3 linked regions of the Canis lupus familiaris genome follow. The protein of the gene in region 1 purifies or fractionates together with the protein of each later gene. This does not show direct contact. Links are inferred from orthologs where the notes say so. Each region holds a gene or a part of one and is shown in the gene's direction. Other genes may lie near its edges. The genes, in order: PIAS4, IKBKG and SMAD4.

Region 1 (7,727 bases):
GGGCAGGAGGGCGCGCGGTGCTAATTGGCCGCCGCCGCGGCCCCGCCCGCGAGTGGCGGGCGGTCACGTGACGCGACGGCTGGGGGCTCCCGGCGCGGGGGACGCTGGTGGCCAAGATGGCGGCGGAGCTGGTGGAGGCCAAAGTGAGTGAGCGGCGGCGGCGCCGGCCCGGGCGGGCGGGAGAAGGGGCGGGGGCCGGGCGGCGGGCGGAGGTCTGCGCCTTCCGCCCGGGGCCCCGCGGCGCGGCCCGCTTGCGGTTCGCCGCCCGGCCCCCTCGCCCGCCCCTGGCCCTGGCGCGCCGGGTGCGGGCGGGGGGCGGGGAGGCCGGGGGCGGGGCCCCCCAAACCTTACCCCAGCCTCCGCGCTGGGGGTTGGTTCCCGGGCGTGAGGCGGGGTCGCCCCCCCGCCCGCCCGAGGGGTTGGGGGCGAGTCTCCCGGAGCCTGGGCGCAGGGCCGCGCCTCCCGGACAGCCTGACGGGCTGGGCTGCTCGTCCCCTCCGCGCCCCGAGCCGGGCTCCTGCTCTTTGGCCTGGGGGAGCGTGTTCGCCTCGCCGCCCCCCGTGGCAGCGAGGGTCGGCCCCTGGGTCTCAGCCTCCCTGCCCAGCAGGCCGGCCGGGCTTGGCGACTCCCTGCTCAGAAGGGCCCCGTGCCCCTTGTGCCGCCGCTTCCCGCGCCCGGGGTGACGGGCCGGGGTCCCGAAGCACCCCCCAGACGCCGCGTCCGCTTGGGGGTTTGTACCCCGGGCTGGAGGTCGCCCCCCTGCTTCGGCTCCCGCGTTGGTCCCGGAGCCCCGCCCCCCTCCCGACACCGTCTCGCTCGCCCTCGGAGTGGGCACCGGGTCTCTCGAGTTTGCTCTCCCGCCTGGGATGGAGCCCTGCCCCTGTTCCCTGTTCAGAGCCTTCCTCCGTGCCCGTCTCCTCGGTCTTGGGTCCTGGGCTCTGCCTTGCTCCCCGTTTTTACTCTCGGGACAGCGTTTGTGAGATTTTGGACTCTGCTCCTGGGGTCTCTCAACTTCACGCTAACAGAATTAGACCCTGTGCCGGCTGTTTCCTTTATACTCCCAAGTGCTTCTACTGAGGTGGTACTGTGTCTACGCAGCTCCCCAGAACCTACTTTAGATCCCTTTATACGCCCCAACTCTGGCTTCTGAGGCTGCCTCTTCCCTTCTGCTGGTTTCTTGTGTTGGTTCATGGAGAGTGCTTCTCCACCCTCTCTCTTTAGTGCTTCTAGTGCTTCTCCCTCATGCTCCATTTTGGGGTCCAGGTTCCACATCCCATAGAGGCCATTTCTGTTCCAGGGGTACTGTCTTCCAGGTACCTTGCCCCACACTACAGTGGGGTTGTTCCCTTCCTCCCTGAGAAGTTTACTCCAGGCCTTTGGTGGCCGGGAGGTGGGAGACCGGACCTTTCCTGGACAGAGGCTCCGCCTTTTCCCCTCCCACTGATCTTCCCTCCCCAGGTCCTGACCTGTAAATGTTTTCTTTCTCCTGTTCCTCTCTCTCCCTCCATCTCCCTTCTCTTCCTGCGGAGATCTGAAATGCAGTTCCCTTCCCCCTGGAGCGTCCCCCTCAATGCCTGTACTACACTCTGCCCTTCTGTAGGGTTTTGAGAAATTGGGACTTGCCCTGGAGATGTGGAAGTCTGAACTCTGCATGCCCAAGGTAGCAGCCAGTGGGCTTGAGGACCCCCGGAGCCCTCAAATAAAGCCGTCCCATAGGGCTGTGACTCTGGGTGTACCCCACCCCCCACCCGGTCCCAGTCCCAGCCAGACGGTAGGGACTGAATTCTTTTATACCATCCAGGGCCTTGAAATATGATCTCATGAACTCTACTTGACCCTCCGGTGGCTGGGGCCCCCACCCCAATTAAATCAAGTTGACCCTTTTTTCAAGTTCTCTAGAACGTGAGCCTCTGTTCAGTGACACAGCTCGCTCCGAGCCTCGGGCGCCTTTCTTTAGTCTGTGGCTGCCACTGTGGAGTGTCTTAGGTGTCGTTGAAGTGTTCTCTTCTTTTAGGTGCTTACCTAGCCTTTTGTAGTAACAGGGGCTGGAGATTTTGTCTTTTGGAGTTCAAAACAGGCTGGTCCTCAGGGAGAATGACAGGGGCTTGTTGGTAAACTTGGAAATCCGCCTTTGCCTGAGGCCCCTGTGAGGGCTTGGGGAGAAGAGGCAGTCTGGGAACCCCTTGAGATGGGAGCATTTTGCACAGATCTCCCATTTCCTGGCGATAAGGACCTTAACTTTCCGCCACATTCAGAGGAACCTATACCCGAGACGGGTTAAGTTAAGCGCGGCAGCTCTATCCAGGCTGATGTTTTTCCACATAGCTCCAAACAAGCCCAGAGTTGAGACTCTGGAAGCCGTGGGGGCCTGGTGCTGTTTATAAACACAGATCTGAGGGGCAGGCGGGTAGGATGAAGCCATGGCAGGAAGTGATTTGCAAAGTGCTTGGGGCTTCTTCCTGAATGTTTGTGCCCCTCTCACACTGTCCCCCCTCCCAGTGTCAAGGGCAGGCTCCTTGGTGGTGGCAGCTGCTGAGAAATCCGAGTCGTGAACATATGGCAGCTTGAGGGATGTGCCCCAGGATGCTTGTGCGGCAGCTCCGGATGTCCAACCTGGTGAAAGGGCTGGGCCATGGCGGGGGCAGGGTGCTCCCAGGGGCGGGGTGATGGTAGAAGATGTGTTGTGGTCAGACTCGGCACACCGAGCCCACCTGCCTTTAGCTCCGTGGAGGGCACTCAGCTTCCACATGACGTCTCCTCTCCCCTCCAAGGCCTTGGGCCTCTTCCAGAAGAAACATCTTGTCTGCAAGCCTATTTTCTCTGCTCAAGGTAGGAAGTCAGGCCAAGGAAGGTGAAGTCTTTGTGTTTTTGTAAGCATTCTGGGCTCTCTGAGAGCCTACAGATTGCTTAAGTCCCAAGGCAGGAGGTGTGCTGGGATGTGAGGGGTCCCCAGGCCCCCAGATAGCTGGGTGGGAGTGGAAGGAAGTGCCCTTGGGACTCTGATGGCTCCTGCCACTGACACGTGGGGAGGCTCTGGGCCAGCCACGTTTTTCACGGGGCCTCGGTTTTCTAACCTGCCTGGTGGGCGTGGACCCTTGTGAGATTCGTGGCCGCAAAGAGCCCTTGTGCTTGGTGTGTGGCGGATGCTCCACATCTGTAGTGTGGGAATAGGAGGAAGGCCCTGCAGCGGGAAAAGGCTCCCCCTTGAGATTTTGCAGGCAGGATGGGCAGCCCCACATGTGTGTATCTGTCATTTTGTGCCTTGACAGCCTCTCTGCTATCAGCAGGAACCTGGTGGACGGCTGCCGAAATCTTAGAGGGCTCACATCTTGCATGGGTAGATGAGATGCCCAAAGTGCAGAGGGACCCTACAGAGGACCTGGGGTTGCCTAGGAACCCAGAGCTCCTGAGTCCTGGTGCTGCCCTCAGACTACACGCCTCACCCTTCAACAGCCAGGAAACGGGAAACACCAGAGCCTTCTGGCAGTGAGACTGCTACGTAAACACCCTGGCAGGGTTCCCACCCACCTCTAACTGTCAGACTCTCAAGTTGAATTTAAGGGCTTCATTGGTTTCCTTGGGTGCTGTCCTGCCCTGTGCCCGCCAGCTTCCCATATACACCTTCATCACTTGTACCTGTTTTCCCCATTCCCCTGGAAGTTTCTTTTTCCCCACCACATTTCATTCATTGCAGGCCAGCTTTGGGGCTCAGTGTGGGTGGCCCTGAAACCCTGCCGGCCTATCCATCCTTCAAGGATACTTTGCTTATGTAGCATATTGCGGAGTGTCAGTCCCCTTGGCGTCCCAGAGTCTCCCCGAGGCCAGGCTATGGTCAGGCCGCCCCAAAGAAAACATCAGCGTCAGCTGAGCTCTCGTGTTTGGTTTGATTTAGTCGGAGGGACCCTGCCAGGTAGTAAGTGCCAGACTCTGCTAGACCTCTTTCATCACTTTGCCACAGCTCACAGCCTCCGTGGCTGCTGTATTCCCAAAGCCTTCTCCTCAGACCCGTGGTTCTAAATGGGCCGAAACTGTTCCCAGGGCACACTTGGCAGTGTCTGGGGGACCTTTGTCATTATCACCACGGGAGCTTGGGGAGAGTTCCTGGCATCGAGTGGGTGGAGGTCAGGGATGCTGCTGAGTACCCAACAGTGCCCAGGATGGCCCCGCCCCAGAGAACAATCCAGTCCCAACGTCCACAGGGTCGAGGCAGAGAAGGCCTTCTGGAATGATCAGCAGACGTTTGATGTTCACCAGTGCTCAGCCCCATGTGGACACCCCTAGTGCAATAGAGAGAAATTACCCCTGGCTTTGGAGTCAGGCCTAGGTTTGAATCTTGGCTGTCATGTGGAGCTCCCCACAGCCCAGCAGGATTGTCATAAGAATCAGCGTTGAGTATATGATCACATGTGCAGCTCAGTTCCTGGCGAGTGATTGGTATTAAGTCGTGGCTACCATACTCCAGACTGAAGGGAAAATGTGTTTGTGGCCAACGTTGATTTTCTCTGCTTTCCGTATGTTACCTCATCTGGTCCTTCCCACATCCCAACGAAGTGGGTCCTGTCATCCTGACGAAGAGACTGAGGGTCACAGAGGCCATTAGTGTTCTTGGCTAGGGAGTGGCTGAGGCTGTTTACGGGTAAAGGAAGATTCCCAGTTCCTGCCCTGGGGATGCTTTCAGGCTTGAAGATGGGAAAAGAGAACTTAAAATAGAAGGCAGCGGTGTGTGTTGGGGGGGCGGTCAGAAGCTTTTGCTGCGTTGGCAGTGCTGAGGAAGGTTTGAGGAGGAAGAGGTGGAGGGGAGCAGGGTTAAGCTGGGAGGGGGCATCATAGGGAAGGGTGAGCGGGCAGCGTGAGCAAGGTCATGGAAGTGGGACTGAGCCTGGGCTGGTGGGCCTGGTGCCTACGCCTCCTCCTCCTCCTGGGCTCCTGCTCCTGCCCACCAGAGTGAAGGGGGTCTGGAGGGAGGGCCAGGCAGCACCTGATGGGCTCTCCTTTCGCTGTCCCCCCCGTTTAGGGCCCAGGTGGCTCCACGAAGCCCCTTGCCCCATTGGCAGTCCCCGAATCTGGCTGTGTCTCCTCTGAGCGTGTGTATCTGTGGTTGCTCTTCCCCAGAACATGGTGATGAGTTTCCGAGTCTCCGATCTTCAGATGCTCCTGGGTTTTGTTGGCCGGAGTAAGAGCGGACTTAAACACGAACTTGTCACCCGGGCCCTCCAGCTGGTCCAGTTTGACTGTAGCCCCGAGCTGTTCAAGAAAATCAAGGAGCTGTACGAAACGCGCTACGCCAAGAAGAGCTCAGAGCCTGTCCCCCAGCCCCACCGGCCCCTGGACCCCCTGACCATGCACTCAACCTACGATCGGGCTGGCACGGTGCCCAGGACTCCCCTCTCGGGCCCCAACATTGACTACCCCGTGCTCTATGGGAAGTACTTGAATGGACTTGGACGCTTGCCCACCAAGACCCTCAAGCCGGAAGTGCGTCTGGTGAAGCTTCCCTTCTTTAACATGCTGGATGAATTGCTGAAGCCTACAGAGCTGGGTGAGTCTGCCACCACCTGGGGGTGGGGGGCCCCGACCTGCACTCTCGCAGTGCCTCTGGGCAGCCACAGTCACTGACCCAGAGTGTCTCCTGGGAAGCAGTGAGGGCCAAGGGGTGGGGGTGGGAGGGCTTTCCTTCCCAGGAAGCACAAGAGCCTCCTCTGGATCTATCAGCAACCTGGTGAGTCGTCTCATGAGTACCCTGAATCTCAGTAGCTTAGCACCACAGGCACTCATCTGCTCTCAGCTTGTGAGGGTTAGAACTTGGGAGTGACTTAGTGGAGTGGTCCTGATACAACCTGATACACGGTCACTCATCAGGTCTCATCTGAAGGCCCGACTAGGGCTGGGGGCCACCCACTCCCATGCTTGCTGGCAGGTCTTGGTTTCTTGCTGGCTGTCAGCAGAGACCCCACTTCTTGCCATGTGGGTTCCATAGACTGCTTGAGCATCGTGACAGCGTGGAATGATGGCTTGCTTCCTTTGGAACCAGTGATGGTGTGGGAGAGTTAGTGTGCGCACTTGAGAGTGAATGATGTAGAACAGGGAGAAGCCAGAAGCAGCTAGAAGTCGTCTCCATGACCTCAGCTTGGAAGTGGCCTAACTGCCACACTCTATCAGTCACACAGAACAGCTCTGTGTTGTGGGCCAGGCCTGGACCATCGGAGGGAGGCATCTCTGGGGGCCACTGGGGATGCTGGCTTGTGTGCTCTAACTCCCTGTGGCAGAGGGGCTGGAAGTTGGATCTGATCTCCCTTCCTCCTGCAAAAGGCTTGTTTCCTGGTAGGCGGCCTTCGGAGTAACCTTGGCCAGTGGGGTGCAGTCTGGTCACCATGGGCCAGCTGGTTAGGGAATGGCTAGCTGTGCTCCCAAGAGGTGGGACACCGCCAGGAGTGTAGGAGACAATGCCAGGGCCCTGTGGTTCCTGTCTGCCATAGAGAAATTCTCTGACTCCCAAGGTTGATGGTGTGCTGCACATGGATGGGCCCCTGGTCTTTCTCCGGCATCTGTGGTAGTGGTGGGGTGGGTGGGCGTCAGCCTGGCCTCGGCCTCATGTGCTCCCACCAGCCACAGCTGCCTGCGCCTCCAGGGCTCCAGATGGCAAGTCTAGTAAGAGGGCTTCTTGGCCCCCCTTGGATTTGATGGGGTCCCTGTGTGGTCCTGGAGACCCCTTTTGTCATCATTCTTGTCTTCTTTGCCTTGAGAACCTGCCAGGTGGATGCCCATGGAAGCCCTCCCTGGGGACGCCCACCCCGGGGACATGGCAGGGAGCAAGCAGAGCACCCCACCCTCATGAAGGTTCCCTCCGGCAGTCCTGGAGGTGCCCCGAGCATGTGTCGGCACCGTGGGTCCTGCTGTCTCCCTGTAGCCCTCATCCCCATCTCCATTTCAACCTCCCACGTCTTTGCCGAGCCCCCGCTGCACACCAGCCTCTGGCCCTGGTTGTGAGTTGGTTTTCTCTGTAATGTGGCAGAGGTCACAGCCCCTCCGTGCCCCCACCCACCGGGCTCTCTGCCGTGTGGTTCACTCCCTCCCTCCCTGCTGACCCAGCATCCTGTCTTGCTCAGCCAAGGGGCCCCTCTGTGCATGGAGAGCTCCACGCCAGCCACATGCCAGCCAGCCCACTCTGTCCAGCCCTAGCTGGGGGGCAGTGGGAGGGATGCGGCTGCCTCCCTTCCTCCTTCCTGTAGCTCTGGAGCTTTGTGAGGCTGGACGAGGGGGCTGTGGTTCTGAGTGAGGCTGAAGGAGGTGGCGGGAGGAGTTGCTGGTCGTCCAGGCTCTGGAGTCCCAAGGCCCCATTTCGGCTCGAGGCTCTGATCTCTCCTGCCTTCTCTCTGCAGTGTTTGTCACCAGCCCCCAAGTGGGGAGTAAGTTGCCCTAGCGGCACCTGTCGTAAACTTAATGCGGCAGCATTGGAGAACCTGAGTTTCTCCAGGACAGCCTCACTCCTCCCCCAATCCCAGCCTCCACACTCTGCTCGTCCCCACTCCCCTCTGTACATGTTAGAACCCATTCACCCCTACCCCCAGGGGTTCTCCGGCAGGCTCTGGGGGCCTTGGGACTGGCTGGCTCTGAAGGTCAGGCTGACGGTTCAGGTTTCTAAGGACTCGGGGATGCTGTTCATGATAGGGAGGCTGGGTTTTCACCGGGAAGCAGTTAAGTCAGGCTCAGCACTGGGCGGGGGACAG
Region 2 (5,886 bases), on another chromosome or scaffold:
GCTTTCTGCCTGTCAGCGAGCCCGTCTGCGGGCCGTCCCTTACCGTCATCACACCTACACGATCCATCTCTGATGCGATGGTATGTGCTCTTCAGTCCACGTCCGGACGCCCCCTTTGGGCCCACGTGGCAACAGCGTCTGGTCCCAGTCCCTGCATTGCATCCGTTGGTGTGCCTTGGAGTCTCCATTAATCTAGAACACTTCTCCCACATCTCTGTGTTTTTCACAGAGTTCACTTTTTTGAAGAGCCCAGGACTGTTCCACTTTATTATAGACGGTTCTTATTTTTAAAAACGTTAGCCTTAAACAAAGGGATACTAAGCATTTAGTAAAGCCTGTCTTAGGGCTGCTGGCCTTGAAGGCACAAACGCACCCTGCAAGCAAGCCCCTTTCTGGTCTGTGGACATGAGGAGGAGGACCGTGGAGCGGGGTCAGGACAAGGTGGTTTCTCCAGCAAAGGCTCCTCTTCCTTAGGCGGAAGCTGGCCCAGCTACAGGTGGCCTATCACCAGCTCTTCCAGGAGTATGACAACCACATCAAGAGCAGCATGGTGAGCAGCGAGCGAAACCGAGTGAGTATGGTGGGGCTGTCGCGGGGACTGTAGGACTGACTTTGCTTCGCTTCCTCTCCCTGCCGCCTAGAAACAGCAGAGCTCGGGACCTGCTGCCACTGATTTAGGGCCATGGGAGCTCAAGTTCTTATTTGAACACTTGCCAGAATTTGATTTTGGGGGGGATGTTTGACTTGTCGTAGACCTTTGTCAAGGTCGCAGTGTGACAGCTCAGCGCGGGTGGTGGGAGACTGGGATCCTAGGGCTGTGCTGTGTGTGGCCTACGGTCCCCTGGGCCGGGCCTCTGGCGGCGCTCTGTGTGGCCTGGGAACATGCTTGTCTCCGTGGCCAGTCCTTCCCACCAGCTTGGCTCCTGGCTCAGAGATCCCAGAGCCAAGGTGAGGCGTGGGACACTTCATCACACTACTGGGAGTGGTGCTGGGAGCCCTTTTCTGGTTGGTTTTCATCAGACCTGTACTGGGTGCAATGTCAAGTGATCGCGTTTTAAGAAGGATGCTGTCAAACCCGAATGTACCCAGGGGACATCTCTAAGGCTTGTAAGGGTAACACCTGACACCGACCACACCAGGAAGAGTTAGTTACACAACTGTGGCCTTTCGATCTGCAGGAGGAAGGCTTGCTGGCATGTGTGGCTGTGTCTGTGTGTGCATGCATCTGCGTGTGTGCATGGGGGGCTGAGGGCATCTGGGAGGGAGCAGCAGACCTTTGTAGGATGGCAGGGTGGCAGGACCCACAGGTCTCAGCTTCGTGGCGGCATGTGGTGGACTGTTAGCACGGGAGAGCAGCTGAGCGTGGAGGGGATGGCCTCAGGAGGGAGGATGGCCCTGTCCGCTGAAAGGTTAGAGGTGGGCTGTCCGGCTGGGGATTCTGGGAAGGGAGTGTTGGCCTGGGTGGGAAGTTGTGCCACATGATGTCAAAGGTTCCCTGTAGCCTCTGCCTTTCCTGTGCCGTGCACGCCCTGTCGTCTTGTGCTCTCCACCACTCCAGGGTTGGCCAGCCAGGGCCCATCTTTCATTGATTCCTTTTGGTTCTTCTCACCTGGAGCAGCAGCCGGCCTGGTGGCAGCCTGGTGCCTGCCACGGGCCAGTTTGGGCTCCTGCAGTTCCCCCTTGCCCGTTCCTAGGGAATGCAGCTGGAGGATCTCAAGCAGCAGCTCCAGCAGGCCGAGGAGGCCCTGGTGGCCAAACAGGAAGTGATCGACAAGCTGAAGGAAGAGGCCGAGCAGCACAAGATCGTGATGGAGACCGTCCCGGTGCTAAAGGCTCAGGTGAGGGCACTTCTCTGTGGCCCGTGTGCGGGTCAGCCGACTGGGCCTGCTGGGCCCTGGGCCCTGGTATGTATGTCCCTGGTGTCATTTTGCGGTGGCTTCACGGAAGCCCTTTGAGCCCCTTGCTCTTCCTTGATCTGTCTGCGCTTGGCGGTGACTCTCTGTGCCCCGGCTCTGGGAGGGTGGGAGCCGGCTGTCCCCGATCCCCCAGCAGGCAGTGAATGGCCCACAGCTGGCGGGCGTGCCCCTCTCTTGGCTTTGCCAGGCGGATATATACAAGGCCGACTTCCAGGCCGAGAGGCAGGCCCGGGAGAAGCTGGCTGAGAAGAAGGAGATCCTGCAGGATCAGCTGGAGCAGCTGCAGAGGGAGTACAGCAGGCTGAAGGCCAGCTGTCAGGAGTCGGCCAGGTGGGCCTCGGAGGGCCCGCCCCACGGGGGGTGGGACTGGGTGCGGGGGTCCCGGTGGTGACCGCGTGCGTGTGTCAGGTTAGGCTGAGCCGGCCCTCCCTCTCCGCTCTCCCTCTCCTGCCCTGTCCTGCCCCATCCTTCCGTTGGCTCCGTGCATACTTTTTTTTTTAAAAGATTTTATTTATTTATTCATAAGAGAGAGAGAGAGAGAGAGAGGCAGAAACACAGGCAGAGGGAGAAGCAGGCTCCATGCAGGGCGCCTGACATGGGACTCTGTCCCGGGACTCCAGGATCAGGCCCTGGGCCGAAGGCAGGCGCCCAACCGCTGAGCCACCCAGGGATCCCCTCCGTGCATACTTTTGATCTGACAGTTTCTCTTCTCAAAGGATTGAAGATCTGAGGAAGCGGCACGTGGAGGTCTCCCAGGCTCCCTTACCCGTCACCCCAGGTGAGTGAGCGGTCGGAGAAGGGATGGAGAGGGCAGGGTGCCAGAGAAGGGCCCATCTCGCCTCCCCAGAGTCACTGTCCCGAGTGCAGTCCCCTCCTGGGGACGGGGCGGGCTGAGAGGGAAGACGCAAGCGGCGGTGACCCCAGTGGCCGACCCGACAGGCCTAGCAAGTCTCAGTCCTCTCTGATGCTTCCTCTCTTTCTCCAGTTCACGCCTCCTTTCACGTGCCCGTGTCCATCCAGAGGAGAAGCCCCCCCGAGGAGCCACCGGACTTCTGCTGCCCCAAGTGCCAGTATCAGGCCCCTGATATGGACACCCTGCAGATACACGTCATGGAGTGCATCGAGTAGGGCTGCCTGCCAGTAAGCAGCACAGGACGGCCCGGTGCGAGCTCTCCTGCCGCACGGTCCAGAGTTACGGGCTAGGTGACACAGAACAGGCCACTTCTGTGCGCCCCACGAGCTAGCTCTAGGACCTTATGCTTCAGCTCCCCCATCTGCTGGTTTGCCTCTTTTAGGGCCCATGGAACCCCGGTTAGGCCTGATGCTCTGCTCCTTTTGCTCGTTCTGTCCGCTTGAACTGCTTGCCCTGGGGCTCCCTCTGTTTCCACGTCCACTGGGGAACTCAAGAATCAAGGCCAGGGCTCTCAGAGAACTTCTCAAGCCAAGACGGGCAGAAGCCTTGCCTCCCGCCCACGCTTCCACACACCGTGGCCCCAGCACCCTCGTGGGCCGCGTGGTATTCCATTTGGAGGCTGCACCGCCGGCCCATTTTACCAGTCAGCTTCAGATGAACACTTGGGCCCTCGCCACTCACTGTCACAAACGATGCTGCACTGAACATCCTTGGGCGTCACTTACGTGTCTCTTTGGGTCAGGGTCTTAGAAGCAGCACCGCTGAGCATCGAGCCCTGCCCACACGAGGGGTGCCCGGCCTGCGGGCTTTTGCCATTTGTCGGGCACGGCGCTCTCTATTGAGCCTGAGTGTGTTTGTGGAGCTTGAAGGACCTTTTCGAGTTCTGCTCTTAATGGCTCATTTGTACGTTTTGCCCATTTTTCTGTTGGGCTGTAAGTCTTTTGTTCCTCAGTGGGTTTGAGCTCTTTGGTCACTGGTGGGATGGGCTCTTGTGTATGATAGAAACTGCCACTGTCTTCTCTTCCTCTAACTTTGTGTGAGTGTGTTTTGGGCTTGAAGTTGGTCATCCTTGCGTGGCCACGTCTGTGCACCTTCCCTTCCCTGCTTTGGGTTTACCATTGTTGTGACGGGCTCATGGTTTGACAGGGAGGTGCTTCCACATGCGCACTTTTCCTTTCCTTTTCCGACCGACCACCACTGCGTGCTCTTGTCCTCCCAGAGAGTGTTGCTGCTCTGTGTGGTGGCTGCCTTTCATCACGTTGCAGAAGCTTGTGATGCTGCTCCCCACACCAGCCCCAAATGCCCCAGCCTTGTGAAGGGAAGCCACTTGGTGACAATTGGCAGGTTCTGAACGCTAGAGGGCCCCTTACTGTTGCTTTGCAAGATTTCTGGCTGTTTCCTCGGATGCCAAAGCCAAGGGCTGCCAAAGCCAAGGGCGTTAAGCCCGCAGTTGTCAGCAAAGGACATCAGAAGTGGAGGAAGAATGCCCTGGCCTCCCCTGGTTGGGAATGGGGTGTCGCCGAAGACAGCCTGGCCGGCAGCCCGTTCTGGAGACGAGACTGGCCCGGGGGGCGCCTGGCGTGTGCAGCAGCGGGAGCACCTTTTCCAGTTCCCGGAGCCCGGGTGTCTCCTCGCAGATGACTGAACTTTGGGAAAACGTTAAAGGCGCAGACAGGCTCCCCACTCCCGGGTGCTGTGTTTCAGTCCTGACCTGCAGTTTTCTGCATTAGCACTTCAGTTTCGGGGGATATATTTATTTCCCGTGGCCACTGTGACAAATGACCAGCTTGGCTTAGAACAACAAGAATTCATTCTCTCATGGTGCTAAAATCAGGGTGACAGCAGGGTTGGTTTCTTTTGGAGGCGCTCAGGGAAAGATCAGCTGCAGGCCTGTCTCCCAGCCTCCGTGGGTGGTGGCCCGTGGCATTCTGGGCCGGTAGACGTGTCACTCCGTTCTCTGCCTCTGTGGTTACGTGGCCTCTTCTTTTTCCTGACTGCATCTTCTCTTCTTGTCCCTTACAAGAACACCAGTCACTGGGTTTAGGGCCCACCTCCATCATCTAGGTTAACGTCATTTTGAGGTCCTTATCTTCATTATATCCACAAAGACTTTTCCCAAATAGGGTCGTAATCACAAATTCTGTGCATTAGGACATGCATATGTCTTTCGGGCCACCATTTGGCCCGGCACAAGGGATATCTCCTGGGGCCCACAGACTAGGGCAGGTGCAGTTGAGGACCGGTGTCTCCAGGACCAGCAGCTCCGTTGCGGGGGCTTGTCCCCTGGGGTGAGGGTGGCCGCTGGGCTGCAGAGGCACTTGGCGCTCCGTGGGAAGGAAAGCTGGTGTGGTGTGGGGCAGGCCCTTGCAGGTGTGGGGACTGCCGCTCCTCGGGACATCTCGTCTCCTGCTGGACACTGTGGTTAGGGCCGGTGGCTGCAGGCAGAAGGAAGGGTGCAGGCTGCCTGCAATAGGACAGAGCAGTCGGACTGACCGGGGCCCTGGGTGACAGCCACCAGCGGTGTAGGGCTGGGCTTCGAGTCCTCCTCTGGCTTCCTCCTCTGAAAGGGAGTTGAAAGGACGAAGATGAGATGCAGGTGCAGTGAGAGGCAGATGGTGACTTCCTGGGGAACTTTCCTGGGGTTCCGGCTGTGGCGTCCATGCGGGCCATGCAGCAGCAGCCGCCAGGAGCTGTGCAGCCTTTCGTGCCTGGGCCCCGGGCCGGCGGAGCCACGCTCTGGGGGCAGGGCCTGGCAGCGGCTGAGCGCCACGGGTCTTCCGAAGCTTCCGTTCCTGGGGTGCGCTTGCTCCCTGCCTGCTGCTGATGGCACCCCGTGTGACCCGGTGTGCCTCAGGCGGCGTGGGCTTTAAGCCAGACCTTTCAGTCTGAAGTGGGGGGTTCCGCTTTCTTCCCTTCTGGCTTTCCCTAGATCGGGCTTCCAGAATAAGCGTCTGGATGCCTCCTGCGGGGGAAGCAGCCTGCCTGCCTCCTTCGCTGTGGCCCCTTGACCCTCCTGGCCCTGGCCTTGCCGATAGAGACAGCTAGAAGCACCTCCTG
Region 3 (7,466 bases), on another chromosome or scaffold:
GGATACTGGACAACACGATGGAAAGCTGCAGGTTAGTGGGGGGGGGGGGGCGTGGTCTCTTGAGGAGCCAGGGGGACACCTACCTCTTTCCAGGCACAGCCTGTGAGGCTTATGGGTGAAAACACAGCGGCCACTACTTGGGAGGAGGCCTGGAATGCACTGTCCCAGGGGAAAGTCGAGTTTCCCTCAAGCGAGAAAGTGAAGAGAACCTGAAGAGAAACTCCGAGGAGGCTGGGACTGCAGGGATCATTGTCGGCTTAAGTAGACATGGTGTACTGGGCTCTGATGTGGCCCTGCATGGCCCCTGCTTCCTGGCATCCGAGCCCTTATCTGGGCTCCTTCCCTTGAGTGAGGTGGGACCTGTGAGGTGCCTCTGGCCAACAGAGCACGGCAGAGGTGACTAGGTGTGTGGGGTCATGCACACATGGTTATGTCACATATGGTCGTTACCAGTGTGTTACATGGAGACTCTCCCCTTGTGGCTTTGACGAGGCAACTGCCATCCTGTAAGCCTCCCTGGGGAGGGGGCCACCTGCAGCTGACAGTGAGCAAGGGACTAAGGCCTTGGGTCCTGCAGCCGGCAGTCTGGAGGCGCCTCCTTTCCCTGCCAAGCTCTGGCCTGTGATCCTGCAGAGGACCCAGCTAAGCCGCGCTTGAACTCCCGACCCATACGACCTGTCAACTAATAAATGCGTGTTGTGTTAAGCTGCTAAATGTGTGGTCAAATCGTTACACAGCAAGAAATAGGTAACACGGATGGGAACGAAGAGGCTCAGTTACAAGGGTGTTGCTGTGGCGTAGGTGGGGCTGGAGCTCAGGCCCCGAGATAAAGACCTAAGCTGCGATCAAGAGTCAGACGCTCAGCCAGCTGAGCCACCCAGGTGCCGGAGAGCCATGTTACTTTTAACTCCGTCTGAGGTAGAAGTAGGAACTTAGGAGCCACCTGCTGCTCTGGTACCCGACCACCCAGTTAAACCTTCCTTCAGTTTTGCTGATAGCAAAGAACTGGGAACCACCTGACTCACAAAGAATTTATAACCCGTTCATTCAGGTCACTCGCTCTTTCATCAGACGCCAGTTTTTGAATTGTCCCTCTGAATTGTCCTGGGGGTTTTACATCTGGAGTCGGGGTGCCCGCGCGACTGGATTTCAGCTAAGGTCACCATCTCAGGGTTGTGGGGTCGAGCCCCGCATCGGGTCCCACACTCAACACGTCGTCCGCTTGGGCTTCTCTCTCTCTCTCTCCCTCTGCTTCCCCTCCCATCCCCACATTCCCTCTTACTCTAAAATAAAAAAGTAAATAAATACATCTTGAGTTGATGCACCTGCATGAGAATGTCACTTTATTCCGACAGATGGGAGAATGACAGTTTTGGAAGAGGATGCTCTGTCCTCAGGTGACTTCTCAAGCTGAGCCATTGTGTTAAGTAGTGCACTAGCAACGGGAGCTCTCTAAGTGAATTCCCTTAAAACTAGTCTTGGAAAGTCTTCCTGGACCCAGGAGCAGGGAACACGGGAGACGACGGCGGCGGGACACGCAGGAGTGCGGGTTGCCGTGGTGCGGGGGGGGGGGGCAGCTCGGGAACGGGCGGGATGCCGAGGGGATAGCAGGGGGGGACACCGTGGGGACAGCCAGGCAGGACAGCTTGGGAACGGGCGGGGACAGCGGGGCGAGGACAGCAGGGAGGGGACGGGGACGGGGGCGGGGACGGGGGTGGAGAGCAGGGACGGGGGGGCGGGGCGGGGGCGGGGCGGGGGCGGGGCCGGGACGCCGTGGGGACAGCGGGCGGGGCCGGCGCGGGGACGGGCGTACGGAGGGTCTGAGCGCTTCCTCGCCACTAGCTTGCGTCGGGCTCCCCACCCCCGGCAGGGGAAGTTTTTTCTAGGTGGTAAAAAATAAAACAAAAATTCGAAAGTATGCAACTCGTACGTGTTTTCTGAAACTTTTAAAAATAAAAGAAATGCGCGCATCTTGGAAAAGTTGAGATAAGTAGGTATGCACTGCGAAGCCGAGTTTCGCCCCACAGGTGGCCTCAACAGGTGCGCGGCAGGTCCTTGAGCGCCGCCCCCATCGCAGTGTCCCCCGAGCCCCGTCCACTGGCCTCCGTGACCCGCGGCCACACTCCCGCACGGGCTGCCGGTCCGCGCGCCGCGGAGCCGGGAGGGGGCCCGGCAGGTGTCCGCCCTCGGGGCCGCCCGCCGCCGGGCCGCGCATCGCGCCTGCGCCCCGCGCCTGCGCACAACCCCCCCGCCGGCGCTCCGCGGGGGGCGGGGCCGCGGGAGAGGGAGCTGCGGGGGCACGGGCCGAGGCCTGCAGTTACCCGGATGTGGTCGCCGTGCGCGCATGCTCCGTGGCCTCCCGACAAGTTGGCAGCAACAACACGGCCCTGGTCGTCGTCGCCGCTGCGCTAGCGGAGCGGCTCGGGTGGCGGGGCCCGCGTTGGCGCCCGCGCGCCGTCCTCGGGAGGCCTTGCCCGCCGGTCCTTCAGCGGCGCGGCCGCCCGGCGGCGGGAGCGGCTAGGGGAGCCGGGCGCCCCGCGACCGAGGGCCCCCCCCGCGGGGCGGCCCGGGAGCTCGAGGCGGCCGGCGGGCGGCGGCGGCGGCGGCGGCGAGGAGGGGCGGGGGCGCGGGGGGAGCGGTGGCCCGCGGACGGGCGGCGGCGGCGGCGGCGGCGGCGGCGGCGGCGGCGGCGGCGGCGGCGGCGGCGGCGGCGGCGGCGGCGGCGGCGGCGGCGGAGCCCAGGTAACGGCCCCGTGCCCTCCCCTTCCCCGGCCGGGCCCGCGCCCCCCCACCCCCGGGCTTCCCCGCCCCGGGGCGGGCTCGGGCGGCCGGTGCGTGCGTGTGCGCGTGCGCGTGCGTGTGCGCGGGGGGCGGGGCGGGGGCCGGGGGGCGGGGGGCCTCGCGCCTCGCGTCCCGGGCCCAGCGCCCCCGCGCCTCCGCGCCCCCGCGCCCGCCGCGGCTCCCCTGCCGTCGCCGTCGGTCTTTGTTGCTCCGAGGACTTGCGCCCGCCGCCCCCGCCGAGCGCGCCCGAAGTTTCCCGTCTCGGGGACACGTCGGTGCCGCCTTTGTCCTCCACTTTCCCTTCCTGCCGGGGCCGCTCCGGCGCTCGCCTCGGCCTGCGCTGGGCGCTCTCGCGGCTCGGGAGCGGGCGGGCGGCGGGGGGGAGCCCTCCCGCTGACCTGCGCGCGCCCCTCCCCCGCACCCCTCCATCCCTCCCCCCTCTCCTGATGAGCACCCGGCCGCCCCCCCAGCCTCCATCCCTCCACCTCTCCACCCCGCCCCTCCACTCCACCTCTCACCCCCCCATCCCTCCACCCCCCACCCTTCCACCCCTCCACCCCTCAATCCTTCCCCTAATCAGCTCCCGGCCGCCCCCCACCCCACCCCACCCCACCCCACCCCACCCCACTCCCAATGAAAACCCAAGGACCCAGTTTCTCCCGCTGCTGGGACTGCGAGCGCTGGGCGCGAGGCTCTAGGACGGAGGGCGGTGGCTCCATCACTTGCCCCCAAAACTGAGGTTATCATTTCTCAGGGAAGATTTTTCAAAGAAATGGGCGTGTTGGGTTAACTTGAAAGGTGGCTTTGGGGGCCTGGAGAGGTGTCCGACGGCTCTGCTGGTGGTGATGCGCAGCACCTCCCCCCCCCCCCCCCAAAGCCCTGGTGAAAGATTCTTTTTCACGAACACATTTTATTTCCGATGAATTCACTTTGGACCCAGTTCCTTGGTGCCTTTTGCGCTGTACTCTGAGGTGGGGCTGAGGGCCCTTCGGGGTCGTGGACGCGGCGCAGCGGGCTCCTGGGCATCTCCTGACCGCGAGCCAGGGTGCGGAGGAGCTGGGGTGCAGAGGCTCGGTAGGGGCCCCGACCTGCCGCAGGGAACACCCCTTTGAGTCCCTGCAGGGAGCACCCCCTTGGGTCCCTGCAGGGAGTGTCCTCTTGAGTCTCCACAGGGAGCACCCTAGTCTTCGCAGGGAGCACCCCCTTGAGTCCCCGCGAGGAGCACCTCCTTGAGTGTCCTCTTGAGTCCCCGTGGGGAGCGCCCCCTTGAGTCCCCGCAGGGAGCACCCCCTTGAGTCCCTGCAGGGAGTGTCCTCTTGAGTCTCCGTGGGGAGCACCCCCTTGAGTCCCCGCAAGGAGCACTCTAGTCTTTGCAGGGAGCACCCTAGTCTTCGCAGGGAGCACTCTAGTCTTCTCAGGGAGCGCCCCTTGAGTCTCAGCAGCAGTCTCTGTGGATCTTAAAAAAGTAGGTTGAGTAGTTTTTGTTGGAACAGACCGTGGAGTCTTAAGAGGAAATAAGGAAATCCACGCTTTGAAAAAGTAACGGGATTTAGGACGCAGCTGGGTGGGTGGGCCGCGGTGCCCGCGCCTGCCTTCCTGCACCTGCGCCGTGTTGCCCGCGAGCCTCTGAGCCTCCGAGGCGTGAGGACTTTTCCGTTAAGGACTTCTTATTTTTTCTTCTGAAAAGTTCTGATATGCCGAGTATGTGACATTTCAAGTTGTAAATGATGTGATTGACCTCTTAAAATATGACGTCCTGCTGCTGTTTCATGAGCTGTGACTTTGTTTCCCTAAACGGGTTTGTTACCAGAACCAACAGGACTCGCAGGGTTTTGGGGTCTAAAGGGGGTGATGAATTGTGTAGGTTTAAGTTGTCGGAATTAAACCTAAGAGCCTTTCTAGAGAAAATGGATAGAACCTTTCGTGGGTCTGTTAATAGAAGTGGCTTTTTCTTTGCTTTCCAGGTTTTTGGGTGAGGTTGCTTGAAGAGGCACTGCATCTTCTTAATTCTTTGATTTTCCGAGTAGGAGGGCCTGAGTGGAAGCTTCTCTGTTTAGCTGAGTGCCCGCCTTGTAAATCTCGAGCTTAGAAAAGAATTGCACGTCAGTTTGAGATTTGATGGAAATTTGGGCTGAGAAGGTGAATTTGAAATTTTTACATGGATCATTGGCCTTTTCTAATGGCTTTGCTGCTTGAAGCAATGCTGCTTACACTACGAAGCAGCAAATCTTCTAAAAACCTATGTATGTTTTATTCTGAGGCTACATTTTGGTTGAGCTGTTTATTTGTGTCTGAATTGTTTTTCTGCATTCCCCTTTAGACACCCCCCCCCCCCCATATTAAAGAGAAAAAAGCATTAAACTAATTTATGCTGCCCAGTCACACTCCAGCCCTCTGGCTTGGAAGCTGTTTTTTTCTGATTGAGCTGGTGTTATAACGTCATTAGACACTATCCTAATTGAGCTGTGAATTGCTGTGGCCTCTACTAGGGCTCTTAACCCTGCAGGATCTGTCCCGTTCATTTAAAACGCATTTTTAGTCCTGTCTAAAATTTTGCCTATTTTGTTGAGTACCTTTTTTTATGTTTAAAGTTATTTCAGTTCTATATTGTTCCCCTCTAGCTCATGCCTAACTTTTTCCCATCTTCCATCCAGTGATTTTGATAGTAAACAAGGCTTTAAACATCTTATGTTGGCCGTTTCGGTGCTCATTGTACATGTTTTGATTTCCTTTTTTTCTAGAAGATTGTGTGGTTAGGCAGAAATTTTTGTTTTGCTTAAGCGATGATGAAATGTTGACTCTGAATTGATGCTTAATCATGTGTAAAACTAACAACTAAAACAGTTCCGTTGATTTCATTATTTTCTACACTAAATGAAAGTTAAAGGACTTGGATCAGCGTAACACAGAATATAATATAACTGTTAAACTACCAAATTTTGGGCTTTTTACTCAACAGTTGATGAAGATTTGGTTGTTTTAAAAAGAAATTCAAACAGTTGATAAATATGTGTAGATATTTGAGTAACTTTCAGTATGATACTGCTTGCATCATAATATGACAAAACATATGCTTGGTAATGAGTCAGATTTAGAATTTTTGGATTTTATCCCTCATTTTAAAATGTGTAATTTTGGTGATGGGAAATGTGGCTGAATTCCAGTTTCTCAGGAACAAGGTATTTTAGGTTGTGTCACCTTGACATTATTTTCTGGTGTGATTGGCATCCAGGAAAATTTGTATTAACTATGAGAGTGGATAGAAACTAGGGTAGTGCTTACTTACATAAAACTAAGGTGGTAAGTGGTCAGAATCTTATAATTTAAGTCTTGATTATTTGCTACTGCAAATTATATCGTAGGTCAGATAGATAGCTACCAGAGACAGATTGTAAAGACTGTCTATTACGACATCTTAAAGTTGGTGATAATTGTAAATATATTTAAGTTCAAAGACACTATTTATTTACATTTTAAATGAAAATTGTTTGCACTTTGGGAAACTTGTACCTGTGTGGGATTCATGTTTGTTTGTTTGTTTGTTTAAGATTTTTATTTATTCATGAGAAAGAGAGGGGCAGAGACACAGGCCGAGTGAGAAGCAGGCTCCCTGCAGGGAGCCTGATGGGATCTATCCATCTATCTATCCCAGGATCCCGGAATCATGAGCTGAGCCAAAGGCAGTCACTCAGTCGCTGAGCCATCCAGGCGTCCCCGGAATTCATCTTTTTATTACTTTTTTACTCCCAAGGTTGAGGACAATGGTTTTCAACCTTGGCTGCATTTTGAAATCTTCTGGGAAGCTTTGCAAAATCTGGTGGCTGGATCCCACCTCCAGAAATTGTGATTCAGTGGGCCTGGGATGCAGCAAGATCAGAATTGAAGGTGGTTTAGCTATTGGGGTCCTGTAACTTTATATTTTGAACTATTTCTCTTGTGTTGGCTTTACATCGTTTAATACAATGATGTACATATGTACTGTGTAGTCATCTCACATCTAACTTAGTGGATCTCCTGAAGGTATTGCCACATTTGTCTTGCTTCATTGTTTGTCCCTTCATCTTCATTTGTTCCTCTCTCCCTTCTTTTCTCCTTTATTCATTTTTCATTTCATTTGAAATGTCTGGTAGCAGGTTTTAGGGACTTGTATTTCCCATGATAAGTTGGTATAGCATTACTATTCTAAATAGGAAGTTGATCTTTTTGTTTTTGTTTTTTTTAAAGTATTCTAAAAAGTTTACTTGGGCTCCTTTTGGAGACTTAGGACTTTAAGTGTCAAAATTAGCATCTAAACTCCAATGGAATTTGGTCTTCAAAGGGGGTTAATCTGCTTGGAAACCATAAAATTTTCTAGGCACCTGTTAACTGGTCACTTCACTGGTTCCTGAGAGGCAAGTTGCATTTAGCTTTTGGTGTCAGGAGTTAACTTACCCCCTGTGAGATGTTGCTCAGCAAGCCCAACTAGTTAGCATTTCTTTGGAAATCATCTAAGGAGAATATATTCAGTTTTCCATTTACATCAGCTGAAGTAGTTCCCAAGTGCTGGTTGAAGAGTAGTTGTATGGAGCATCTCTGGAAGAGTTTTGTTTTTCTTTTTTTCTTTTTTTTAATTTTTCTTTCCCCACATTTCATTCCAACACACATTCAGAGTGGGAATTGAATGGAGGAGGCATGGGAATCTTTAT

The links.
Region 2: the proteins of PIAS4 (region 1) and IKBKG purify together in Homo sapiens (affinity purification with western blotting; 5 studies listed by BioGRID, with this or other methods). This does not show direct contact. The link is inferred for Canis lupus familiaris from reciprocal best matches to the Homo sapiens genes PIAS4 and IKBKG.
Region 3: the proteins of PIAS4 (region 1) and SMAD4 purify together in Homo sapiens (affinity purification with western blotting, with the first as the bait; 3 studies listed by BioGRID). This does not show direct contact. The link is inferred for Canis lupus familiaris from reciprocal best matches to the Homo sapiens genes PIAS4 and SMAD4.

The regions. Positions count from the first base shown.
Region 1 is NC_049241.1:55,942,469-55,950,195, reverse strand, and holds the start of PIAS4 (E3 SUMO-protein ligase PIAS4), read left to right. Parts: upstream 1-2,556; 5' UTR 2,557-2,571; coding exon 2,572-2,616; intron 2,617-5,014; exon of another isoform or gene 5,015-5,112; coding exon 5,113-5,539; intron 5,540-7,727.
Region 2 is NC_049260.1:123,435,000-123,440,885, forward strand, and holds part of IKBKG (NF-kappa-B essential modulator), read left to right. Parts: intron 1-474; coding exon 475-571; intron 572-1,694; coding exon 1,695-1,838; intron 1,839-2,103; coding exon 2,104-2,246; intron 2,247-2,632; coding exon 2,633-2,694; intron 2,695-2,901; coding exon 2,902-3,044; 3' UTR 3,045-5,886. UniProt on the Homo sapiens protein: Regulatory subunit of the IKK core complex which phosphorylates inhibitors of NF-kappa-B thus leading to the dissociation of the inhibitor/NF-kappa-B complex and ultimately the degradation of the inhibitor.
Region 3 is NC_049222.1:24,036,372-24,043,837, reverse strand, and holds the start of SMAD4 (mothers against decapentaplegic homolog 4), read left to right. Parts: upstream 1-2,698; 5' UTR 2,699-2,742; intron 2,743-4,755; exon of another isoform or gene 4,756-4,920; intron 4,921-7,466. Other genes in the region: ELAC1 (zinc phosphodiesterase ELAC protein 1), read left to right, coding at 1,052-1,300. UniProt on the Homo sapiens protein: In muscle physiology, plays a central role in the balance between atrophy and hypertrophy. When recruited by MSTN, promotes atrophy response via phosphorylated SMAD2/4.